Linked DNA regions of Mus musculus. The protein of the gene in region 2 interacts with the protein of the main gene of each other region in a pairwise test. Links are inferred from orthologs where the notes say so. Each region holds a gene or a part of one and is shown on either strand. Other genes may lie near its edges.

Region 1 (3,752 bases), on a different chromosome or scaffold from region 2:
CAAGTGGGTCTCTGGTCTTTGTGCCTTCTCTTGGGGCTTTTTTTCTTTGTTTCATCCAATTCAGATATGATAGGTTTTGTATTATCTTATGTTTTACATCTTAGTTTATTATTATCCCTTAGAAGTCTGTTTTGAAAGGGAGTGGATACAGATGGAAGGGGAGGTTAGAACTGGGAGGAGCAGAGGGAGGGGAACTGTATCAGGATATAGTATGTGAGTAAAGAAATCTATTTTCAATAAAAGGAAAAACAATTTAAAAATAAATAAAACCCCTCTGTTTAATCTGTCCAGGGACATTTGTAGTTTCGCCCACCTCTTGGCTACTGAGAATGATTCTATAAAGAAGGTGGAGGTGTTTTATTTTACAGGTGGTGGTGACACACCTTCAACTCAAGACTTTACCTTTATATGTGGCCAGAAAAATTCTCCGTTGTATGTGGCGTCCAATCTGGAGGGTACTTAGCAAACACTTCCGGGTGACAATCGGAGGTCTAAGGAAACATTCTGTAACTATATGCCTGACTGCTCTTGGAGGGAAGGCTCTGTGAGATTTGCAATGTGTTTCTTTTTACTACTGCAAAGTAGCAGAGCTGTCATTCCGAACGCAGAAGCATTCCGGACTTGAAACGAACCAAGCGGCTGGCTCGAAGATAAATAGGCATCCTCCCCAACCAAGCCTGCCTTCGCAGTGCACGCAGGGACTTGTAATTCGTCGCAACCACTTCCTCGCCGGGTAGATTGCCGCAGCTTCCGGAAGTTGGGGCGTGTTAAAAGCGTCAACGTTCTTCTCCCCGCCTCCTAGTCCCACAGATTGACAGCACTAACAGCCAGCAGATAAGCGGACTCGTGCGTCCTGTTACGTGATTGGTTTGGAGTTTTGTAACCGCCCAGACAAACTTAAGGGGAATTGGTTGAGCCACAATTTTGAAAATCGTAGATTCGCCCGCGCTCTTCGCCCGGTAGGTCCTCGCCTGCGGCGAGCTCGCGGTACTGGGAGTCCAGCCGGTCCGGCGTGGCGGGAAGCTTAATCTGCGGAAGCCGCGGACTGGAAAAGGAGTGGTCCGGGAAGACGCGGCGCCGCCGGGTGAGTGAGAACGGGCGTCGGGAGTCGCAGGGTCGCGGTGTTCGGCCACTGGTCCCGGCCTCTTCGCTTCCCAGGATGGGCCAGGGGAGTCACTTTCGCCTATGGGTTGCTTATGGGTGTGGGGATCACTTCCAATGGTTCTAGGCTTGGAGATGAACTTCGAGGCCCTGCACTTGAGTCCTGGGATCCGAGAATGGTCAGTCCTCTTCCCCGCACGCCGGGCCTAACACCTGTGCAGAGCCTGGGCTGCTCTGTAAACCCGGACTTGAGTCTTTTTATGGCAACGGCTGCTCAGCTTCGTCCCAGCTGAGCAGCATTTAAAAACTGACCCAGCTCCGGAGACCGCCCTGCTACTTATTTTGTCATCCCCGCAAGCGTAGGCTCTTGTCAGCGGCGCAGTTCCCTCCAGCTTCCTGCTGCCAAGCGTTGGGATTGTGTCATTCTGAGCTTGAAACTATTGTCCTGGAGGCCTGTGGCTAGTGGTTAAAAAACATTTTAAATCCAGGCTCCGCCCTCCGATTTTCTTGGTGACTTTGACCTAGATTTGTATGTGCATGGGTATCTTGGAGTATGTGGCAAAAAGGAATTGAGAGGTTTCTTGGCATGGAGTAGGACTCTTGAGTGGAAGAGCAGTTTTAGCGATCGATCTTCCTGCTTGGAGGGGTGTGTGTGGGGAGAAATGCTTAGTTCATTTCCTGCACCCCCAGAGGAGATGGCAATTGCTAATCTGCTGAATGGCACAGAAATAGTATTTGTGGAGAGGAAGTGACCTTCCTTCTCCCATGGTAGGGTTTGTTTATTTCGTGGACTGAAGGTGAAGTTACCCAGGAGTCTGATTCTTGTTACACCTCCTCCTTTCCTCAGAGTCACCTTTTCTAACTTTTCAGCGAGGGCTTGCTAGAAAGCACATTTCCCCATGGAAGAAGAAGTGTGGTATTGGACTTGGTGAAAGAAGCGCTCACTCCGATTGTAGCATGAGCAGACATTTTGTAAAATTTCCCATTTGTTACTTTCTTATAGCTCCTCTGCAAGTCTTTGGAGTCCTTGTGCAGTTTTCTCTTCTCTTTGCTGGCCTTGAACTGATGAGGCCTTGGACTTGGCTAGGGCTGTTTTCTGGTGCAGGGGGATAGGGAGACTCAGTGGAGAGGCCATGCTGATGAGTAGCTGGCTGCACAGTTAATGCTTTTTCCTAAAGGCTCAGTGCCCCTATCCATTCGGTTTTGCCCCAGTTAGTGCTGCCTTTGGCCGTTAGGTCAGGGTGTGTTTTGGCCTGTTCTAACATGTGCCTACTGAGTTGCTCACTGAGTGTCCCAGTGTGTGATGGTGAGACAACCTTTAGGATTAGTTGATGGATGAATGAATTCATTCCACAAGTGCCAGACTCTTTTGTTGCTGAGGAAGGCACAAGGCTTACCCTCAGAGAGCAGGTTAGTGGGTAGAGGCCAGCAGTAGGCAAACATAAACAATCACTCATTTGCTGTGCACATAGCTGGAATCTGTGTGTGAGATCTTGGCTTGGATTGGAGGTCTGATCCTCCTTAAGGAGCTGAAAGCTAAGTGAAGAAGCTGTACAAAACAGGAGACAGAGTTCCTAGAGGCCAGAACTTGTTTGAAGGGCAAAAGGGTAGTGTGCCTCATACATCAGGCTGAAGAACTTCAAGGAAGAACCTAGAGGCCACAGTATATGATGGCATTATGTTCCAAGAGGATCAGTAATATAGCCCTTTCTTCCCTGACCTTTTTCTGTAGCTGAGAGGCTGAAGTGTGTATGCATGCTTCTTGCTTTTGAAAGTGTAAGTCATGGTGGGAACTTCCTGTCCTTATATAAGGTGGGATCCGATATATTAGTGCTCATAGCTGCCACCCACTCTTGATCTTTCATGTGTTTACCACTTGGGGTACTGCTTATCGGGGGCCCTGATATGACAGTATCAGAATCCTCCCACTTAGTGTAGGACCTTTGTTAGGATTATATAGTCAGGTCGTACGGCAGATATCCAAGCTCCCAGCTTTTTAAGGCAGTGGGTAAACTGGCACTGCATTGTCTTTTGCCTGGTATTGACAGCCAGGTCTTCCTGAAAGCAGCACATTGCATGCGCACTCACTTCGCTCTCCCTCATCCATTCATAGGACATTTTGGCTTTAGGGAGGGTTTCAGAGGTCTCTTTGGAGAACATGGTTCTGGACCCCTCATTTCTTATGCATTCCTGTGGAATGTATAGCACATTTCCATCTACTGACTCCCCCCCCCCCGCCCCCAAATTAAAGACAGGGTCTCATGTAGTCTAGGTTGGCCTTAAACTTGCTATGTAGCTAGGCATAACCTTGAAATGATCCTCCTGAATTTCTCAAATGTTTGGGACCATAGAACGAACTATGCTCAGCTCTAGTGTCTATTTACTTGTTTACTTGTATAGTGTGTGTGTGTGTATATATATATATATATGAACATGTTGTGTGACAAAGCTTTACCTGGGGAGATGCAACACACACTCCGTTTACCCCTAGATAGGAACCCACAGTAGACCAAAGTATGGATACCCACCACCAAAGTCCAACTTTGTGAACCAGTGAAATGTTTTTTGTTACTTACAGTAGTATCAGTGAGGGGTTACAGGATGAAGGGCAAAGGTAGTATGCCCCACAAATCAGGCTGAAGAACGTCAGG
Region 2 (3,752 bases):
GACTAGCATGGTCTACAGAATGAGGGCTACACAGAGAAACCATGTCTGGAAGGAAAAAAAAATATTCTGAACCATATCTAGGTAGATGCCGTGAGTCCACTATCACTTTAGAGCTCAGTACTGAAGTTGCACTGTTAGTGTAAATAAGCAGCTAATGGTTGTATAATATGTTTGTCCTTTTTAAAGTGCCAGTGACTATGGAAATCTCTATTCATTAGAAACATCACTAAAACCTGTCAAGCGCCAGGCGGTGGTGGTACACGCCTTTAGTCCCAGCACTTGGGAGGCAGAGGCAGGTGGATTTCTGAGTTCGAGGCCAGCCTGGTCTACAAAGTGAGTTCCAGGACAGCCAGAGCTATACTTAGAAACCCTGTCTCGAAAAACCCAAAAAAAAAAAAAAAAAACAACAACAACAAAAAAAAAAACCTGTCAAGCATGATAGCACCAACAGGTAGATCTCTTCATGTGAGGCCAGCCTGAGACATAAAACAGAAAACTAAATTGAAATCATCAGTCCGTCCGTCCCCCCCCCCCCACCCCCCGAGACAGGGTTTCTCTGTGTAGCCCTGGCTGTCCTGGAACTCACTTTGTAGACCAGGCTGGCCTCAAACTCAGAAATCCGCCTGCCTCTGCCTCCCGAGTGCTGGGATCAAAGACGTGCACCACCACCACCCGGCATCATCAGTCTTTTGTAAAAAGTATGAAACTATCTTCTTTTCTTTCTTTTCTTCGTTTTTGAGACAGGGTCTGATTATGCTTTGGCTGTCAAGTAACTCACTACATGGACCAGGAGGCTGGCCTCAAACAGATATCCATCTTCCTGCTAGGATTAAAGGCAATGACCACTAACGCCAGGCTGGAATTTTCTTATCACAATGAGGTACCTCTACCTCAAAGACTATAAATAAATCAACAGACACAGATAATAAATGGAAATTATACATTTGTCTAGATACTCTGAGAAGTGTGGGTATTATCAACACCAACAAAATTGCAGAGAAAATACAAAAATATATGGAATCAAAACAATGAATAACAACTCAAGATATGGTGGAGTCTTCTGTCCCCAACACCCTAAATACCTCCTAAATGAATCAGCTTTTTCACCCCACACCAGACATCCTCAAATGAACAGCAGAAATAGGAGCTTAGAGTATCTTGAATGTTAGGGGAGAAAAATGTTCTTCGGAGAAGAGATTCAGATAAAAGAATTGGGAACATGAATGGTGGTGACAAGTACATGATGACACAAAACAAACAAACAAAAAACCAAATGTGTCTATTTTTATTAAGGTTTTCATTATTTCATCAATGACAATTATCCCTCAAACATACAGGCCTTGGCCCCACTGTTTCCATAGAAGCAACACGTTTTGACTTTTGACATGTAACTCTCAAAAACTTTCATAGAGATAGAAATACAAATACAGTGTCCCTGGAAATGGGTGCTAGTGGTTAAGTCTATTTTTCTTGGATGCTTTTCATTGCAAGTACTTTACCTAAGTCATCTCATTCAAAATTTCAATATTCTTCTCTTAAAAGTTTTCAAAGACTAAAGGCACGTTCTCCAAAGTCTCAAGTGAAGGGAGGAACGTACCAAAAACTACAAGAAAAATGATTAACTCAAGGGCCACAAGAAAACATATGTTTTCCCTAAGGTAATATACAGAATGAATGCCTTAGTTATAGGAGTCATTTTAAGTTAAAATACTCGCCCCCACAAATGCAAGAGTAAGCTTTATTGGGGGGGGGAGGGGGGAATCCTGTCTTTCTAGTGACTCCTGGCTTGCTCTAAGAATTTAACCAGCCAACTCCCGCGCTCCCCACAGGAGTCCAGCCTCTGCCTCTTGGGGAAGGCCGGCCAATCGCGCGCTTGGGGCTCATTGGCTCGGAGAGACGCAACTCAGGCGAGAAAAACCCGCCTCCCACATTCCGATGGCCCAAGGACCGATCGGTAGGCAGCTATAGGAAAACCCAATTGGCCTATAGGCTCGCCAGTCAAATGCTTCGGCAAGGCAGCTTCACAGAACCTGCAAGGATAAAACATCCCGCCCCAGTTGTCCTATTGGCTGGCCCGACCCGTCGCGGCCCCTTCACTGTCGTCGTCCACCCCCCCCCCCACCAGTTCAGCGGTCCATTCATTTCGTACAATAACCGGTGCAATGGGAGCGGGTTCAAGATCTCGTACGGGTAGACGAGACTCTGCCACTTACCCAAGATCTAAAGTGATCACTCACGCTAAGGCCTGCACGGTTCCTCTGTGGTAAAGCGGCACCACAAGCCACCGCTACCGCCGCCTTCTGCGCAATGCCAACCGCCCGCCAAAACGGATCCTTCCCTGCGCCTGCGCAACCAATCCTGGGCTTGGACCTTTTCTCCGCCCAAAACGCCTGCGCAAAACTGGACGCTGGTCCCGCCACTACGCAGGCGCCTAGGTTCACAACCCTCTCCCGCCCGCCATTTCACGTGTTCCAGGCAGCAGGCGGAACATCGTAGTGCGCCGGCGTGAACTCGCCATTTTTATTACACATGCGCCTTATAGGGAGTGGCTGGGAAAAGTCGCGGTGAGCTACTTTGTAGCGTGCGGTCCTTTGACGAGTGAGTTTGTAATGTTCGGGTGTGGGAAAGTTATGAAAGGCATTTAAAAGACGTGAATACATTCAAATATAAGTGACTGGCTAGTTAGCCAATCAATGCGATTAAGGATAAGATCCCTTGGGGCATCAGTGACTCAAAGGGGCGGAGTCTGAATAGAACGCCCAAACGGATGCCGTTTCTTAGCAGGGCGTCTTCACGGGCCAATGGTGGGAGGGAATAATTTCAAATCTCCAATAAGACTCAAGTAAGGGCGGAGTCTACCAATACCGAGAGCGAGGAGGCGGGATAAAAGGGCGAGCAGAAGGTAGGCTGGCGGGCACGTTCGTTATCGTATTCCTTTCTGCTCTTTGACGCTGCCGAGGAAGCATCGCTGAAGGCTCTCGTAACTCTACCGTCATGTCTAAGTCCGAGGTAAGTTGGATGCGCTTTGCAGCTTCTCTTTCTTCCACACTTACTGAATATAGCGGGATGTGACGTGTTTTGCTGCTCGCACCCGTGGTTTCGGTGTTTTATCGATTAGTGCTGAGGCCTACTTTAAAAAAATGCAGGTCGCCATTTTGTCCTCATAGTCACCATGAGGCTGCGATCCGACCGCCATTAACGTCCATGCACTGTTCCTTGTGGCAAACTTCACAGACTAATGATCTGGGGAGTGTGGCCTTTTCTTCCCCTCCCCCATTCTGGTCTAACAATCGCTTGTTAAAGAGATATTAAGTCTTAATGGGGATGGACCCGACTAACCTGTGCCCTTTGTTGCGCGTGCGTATGAAGTAAAAGTAAGGACGCATGCGCTGCGTGCAACTCGAGTGAATCCCCAGCAGCACCTCCTAGCCTAGGAAGGAGCACGTGGTCTCGTGCAGTAATAAAGAACAATAAAAAAGTGTAGCATGTGTTGTTGCGGGGTGTTGATTCATTTTCCCAGGTTCCAGCCCCTCCGCTAAACACTCCCTCCTCCACTTTAGTCTCCCAAGGAGCCAGAACAGCTGCGGAAGCTCTTCATCGGAGGGCTGAGCTTCGAAACAACCGACGAGAGTCTGAGGAGCCATTTTGAGCAATGGGGAACACTAACAGACTGTGTGGTAAGATTAAAAGAAACAAAAGGAAGAGCTGGCTTATTTCTTCCGATTTAATCTGCTGCTTCTTAGCTAAATTGT
Region 3 (2,797 bases), on a different chromosome or scaffold from region 2:
GGGGAAGCACTGCCACAGAAGGGGTCTGGACTTGGAAGCACGCCCAACTCTTACTTTGTCCCTTCACCCGAGAGCTGAGCCTGTGACAAAAGCTGGTCAGCCAATGCCTACACCCAGTGACCTAGAACCCCCATTCCAACTGTCTACTCTACCTGCAGATCCTCCAGAGAGTCCAGTACCAGGTAAGGACTCAAATAGAGGAATGAGACTGAAGAATTTGGAACTGCCACGGTTAAGCTTGAAACAGGAGGAGCAGAACTGTGGGTGGAGCTTAGCCGGCTCCCTTGGCAGAGCAGGCTGTGTAACAATGGGATTTAGGCTCAAGGAGTTGAGCAGTTATGGCCTTGCTTTGCAGTACTGGGGATCAAATCCAGGGCTTATGGCATTAGGCAATCCTATTACAGCATTTTAGGAGCAGGCTCACTCCTCTAGAGACAGATTAGTGTTTGGAGGAAGAAACTGAGGCTTCTGAGGTAATGTTTTAGTCACCTGAGCGTCCTTTCTCCAACTGCAGATCCTGCTCTGGAGACCCCGGTGATTCCAACATCGTCAAGCCTTTTACGACCCCGTCTCAGTCCCTGGGGCTTGGCCCCTCTCTTCCGTTCCGTCCGATCAAAGCTTGAAAGCTTTGCTGATATCTTCTTCACACCTAACAAAACACCACAGCCTCCACCCCCTTCACCTCCCATGAAATTAGAATTGAAGATTGCCATCTCGGAGGCTGAGCAGTCCAGGGCTACTGAGAAAATTACATCTGTCAGCCCCAGGCCCCCTATCCGCCAGTGGCGGACTCAGTGCAATTCCCTAGCACCTGTCTCTAAGTCATCTCTGGGACGAAGCTACTCCTGCCCTGATCTAGGGCCCCCTGACCCAGGTAGCTGGCCTCCTGTCCCATCCCAGCCAAGCCAGTCCAGGCCCCGGAGACATACTGTGGGTTGTGGGGAGATGGCCCGGACCCCACCACCTCCTCGACCCTGTCTCCGGAAAGAGGTCTTCCCTCTTGGAGGAGTGGGAGTCTCTCCTTCTCTCACTACATCTTGCTCAGCCAATGCCCCTGCTTCCTTCTTCTGCGAGCCGGCAGAACCCAGGTAGTGCTCTCACTCCCCCTCTGGAACTCTGGCCTCAGCCTGAGCCTTGCCTCCCTTGCTTAGTATTCACTGGCAGAAGACGAGTGCATTGCTGTGTATGCCCTTGTCCTGACTGTTGACCATCTCTGCAGGTTGGGTTCAACGAAGGGGAAGGAGTTAAGAGCCTCAAAAGACAAGGTGTTTTCTGATCCAGAGACCAAGGTAATGAGTGAGTATAAAGACAGGAGCCAGCCAAGGCCTGAGCCCAAGCCTTTCTTTCACCCTCTGCCCATTTTTTGCAGACCATGGGGAAGGTTTCTAGATTCAGAATACGGAGGACACCTGTCCGTCTCCAACCAAACCTTACACCAATGGGGCTGCCTCGACCAATCAGGTAAGAGGCTCAGAGAGCAGGGAGCTACCTTGACCAAGTAGGTGACAGTCCTAGTCCTCTCAGGGAGCATAGGAACCTGGGACATTACATTTGGCATGGACATGGCGTGTGCATAGAATCTCCTCACCTATCACTTCTGACTCTCACCTGGCCCAGAAACCAAAATTCCCATCAGCATCAGGCTTTGCCCATATCTTCAGTGCCCTCTGCTCTTTGTTTCCAGGTTGAATAAGAAGGAGTTCACTTTGGAAGAAATTTATACAAATAAGAACTACCAATCACCCACAACCAGAAGGTGAGAAACTTGGAAGGTCTGAGGGCAGTAGAGGGCTGTTTGAACCAGGGAGAATCCTGGTAAAGATCTCTTGCTCCCTGCCTGACCCAGGACCTTTGAGACCATCTTTGAGGAACCACGGGAGCGCAATGGAACTCTGATTTTTACCAGCTCTAGGAAGCTCCGAAGGGCAGTAGAATTTCGGGACAGTAGCCTTCCTCGATCCCGGCGACCATCACGAGGGGTCCGCACCGCAGCAAGCAGAACCCTTACTCCCAACCTGGCACCCAGCCAGGATGTGGGGTCTCTACTGCAAGAAAGGCTGAGGGAGCTAGATGCCTTGCTCCTGGAGGAGGAGACAGATAAGGAACACCCTTGTCACCTCTAGGAGCTCCAACTATTTGTCCATCCGTCCTTTAGGTAGGGGAGAAATCTCTGAATCAATTGTATTTTTTTTCTCTATATTTCTATAAAGTTTTCAATATATGTTTCTGACTCCTTTGTGCCTCCAGCAGAGTTTGAAATCAATTAATTAAATGAGCTGATGTTTTTATGTTGGTCACCAAAGGACTAGAAAACAGGAGATAGTAGCAGAGAAAAAAAGGGTTGCAAAAAAAAAAGAAAAAATGCAGTGGTCACTGGAAATTGCCCACCCCACTCTCATCCACTGGCAGGGCTGGGGGATCAAACCTAGAATCTTGTATATACTACCTCTGAGCTCCATCCCCAGTCCAGAGATGACACTTGAGAGCTGCTTTATGTGGTGCTATGTATACCATGGATACACAACTCTTACATCATAGAATGAAAAGGCCTTGGAACAGGTTAAGGCCTTGAAGATGTTATTTACTCCTCCCAAATGCTGCCATCGCCAACTTAGGACAATCTATCATAGAGAGTCGACCGGCACAAAGTCTGTTAGGGAATTTATCACTATTTTATATCGACAAGAAAACAAGGGTTGTCAAGGAAATGTCCACATTAAAAGAACAGCCAGGGCCAGTGAGATGGCTCCACTGAAAAAGCGCTTGGTACATACATAAGCTTAGTAACCAGAGTTTG

The links.
Region 1: the proteins of Cbx5 (region 2) and Incenp interact in binary tests that used the Homo sapiens proteins (3 or more experiments, as listed by UniProt). The link is inferred for Mus musculus from reciprocal best matches to the Homo sapiens genes CBX5 and INCENP.
Region 3: the proteins of Cbx5 (region 2) and Prr14 interact in binary tests that used the Homo sapiens proteins (3 or more experiments, as listed by UniProt). The two-hybrid records come from large-scale screens. The link is inferred for Mus musculus from reciprocal best matches to the Homo sapiens genes CBX5 and PRR14.

What each region holds. Positions count from the first base shown.
Region 1 is NC_000085.6:9,896,671-9,900,422, reverse strand, and holds the start of Incenp (inner centromere protein), read left to right. Parts: upstream 1-933; 5' UTR 934-1,084; intron 1,085-3,752. UniProt on the Homo sapiens protein: Component of the chromosomal passenger complex (CPC), a complex that acts as a key regulator of mitosis.
Region 2 is NC_000081.6:103,237,520-103,241,271, forward strand, and holds the start of Cbx5 (chromobox protein homolog 5), read right to left. Parts: upstream 2,334-3,752; 5' UTR 2,214-2,333; intron 1-2,213. Other genes in the region: Hnrnpa1 (heterogeneous nuclear ribonucleoprotein A1), read left to right, coding at 2,995-3,009, 3,561-3,677. UniProt on the Homo sapiens protein: Component of heterochromatin that recognizes and binds histone H3 tails methylated at 'Lys-9' (H3K9me), leading to epigenetic repression. In contrast, it is excluded from chromatin when 'Tyr-41' of histone H3 is phosphorylated (H3Y41ph).
Region 3 is NC_000073.6:127,474,538-127,477,334, forward strand, and holds the end of Prr14 (proline-rich protein 14), read left to right. Parts: coding exon 1-182; intron 183-514; coding exon 515-1,088; intron 1,089-1,219; coding exon 1,220-1,289; intron 1,290-1,369; coding exon 1,370-1,461; intron 1,462-1,684; coding exon 1,685-1,756; intron 1,757-1,846; coding exon 1,847-2,123; 3' UTR 2,124-2,221; downstream 2,222-2,797. UniProt on the Homo sapiens protein: Functions in tethering peripheral heterochromatin to the nuclear lamina during interphase, possibly through the interaction with heterochromatin protein CBX5/HP1 alpha. Might play a role in reattaching heterochromatin to the nuclear lamina at mitotic exit.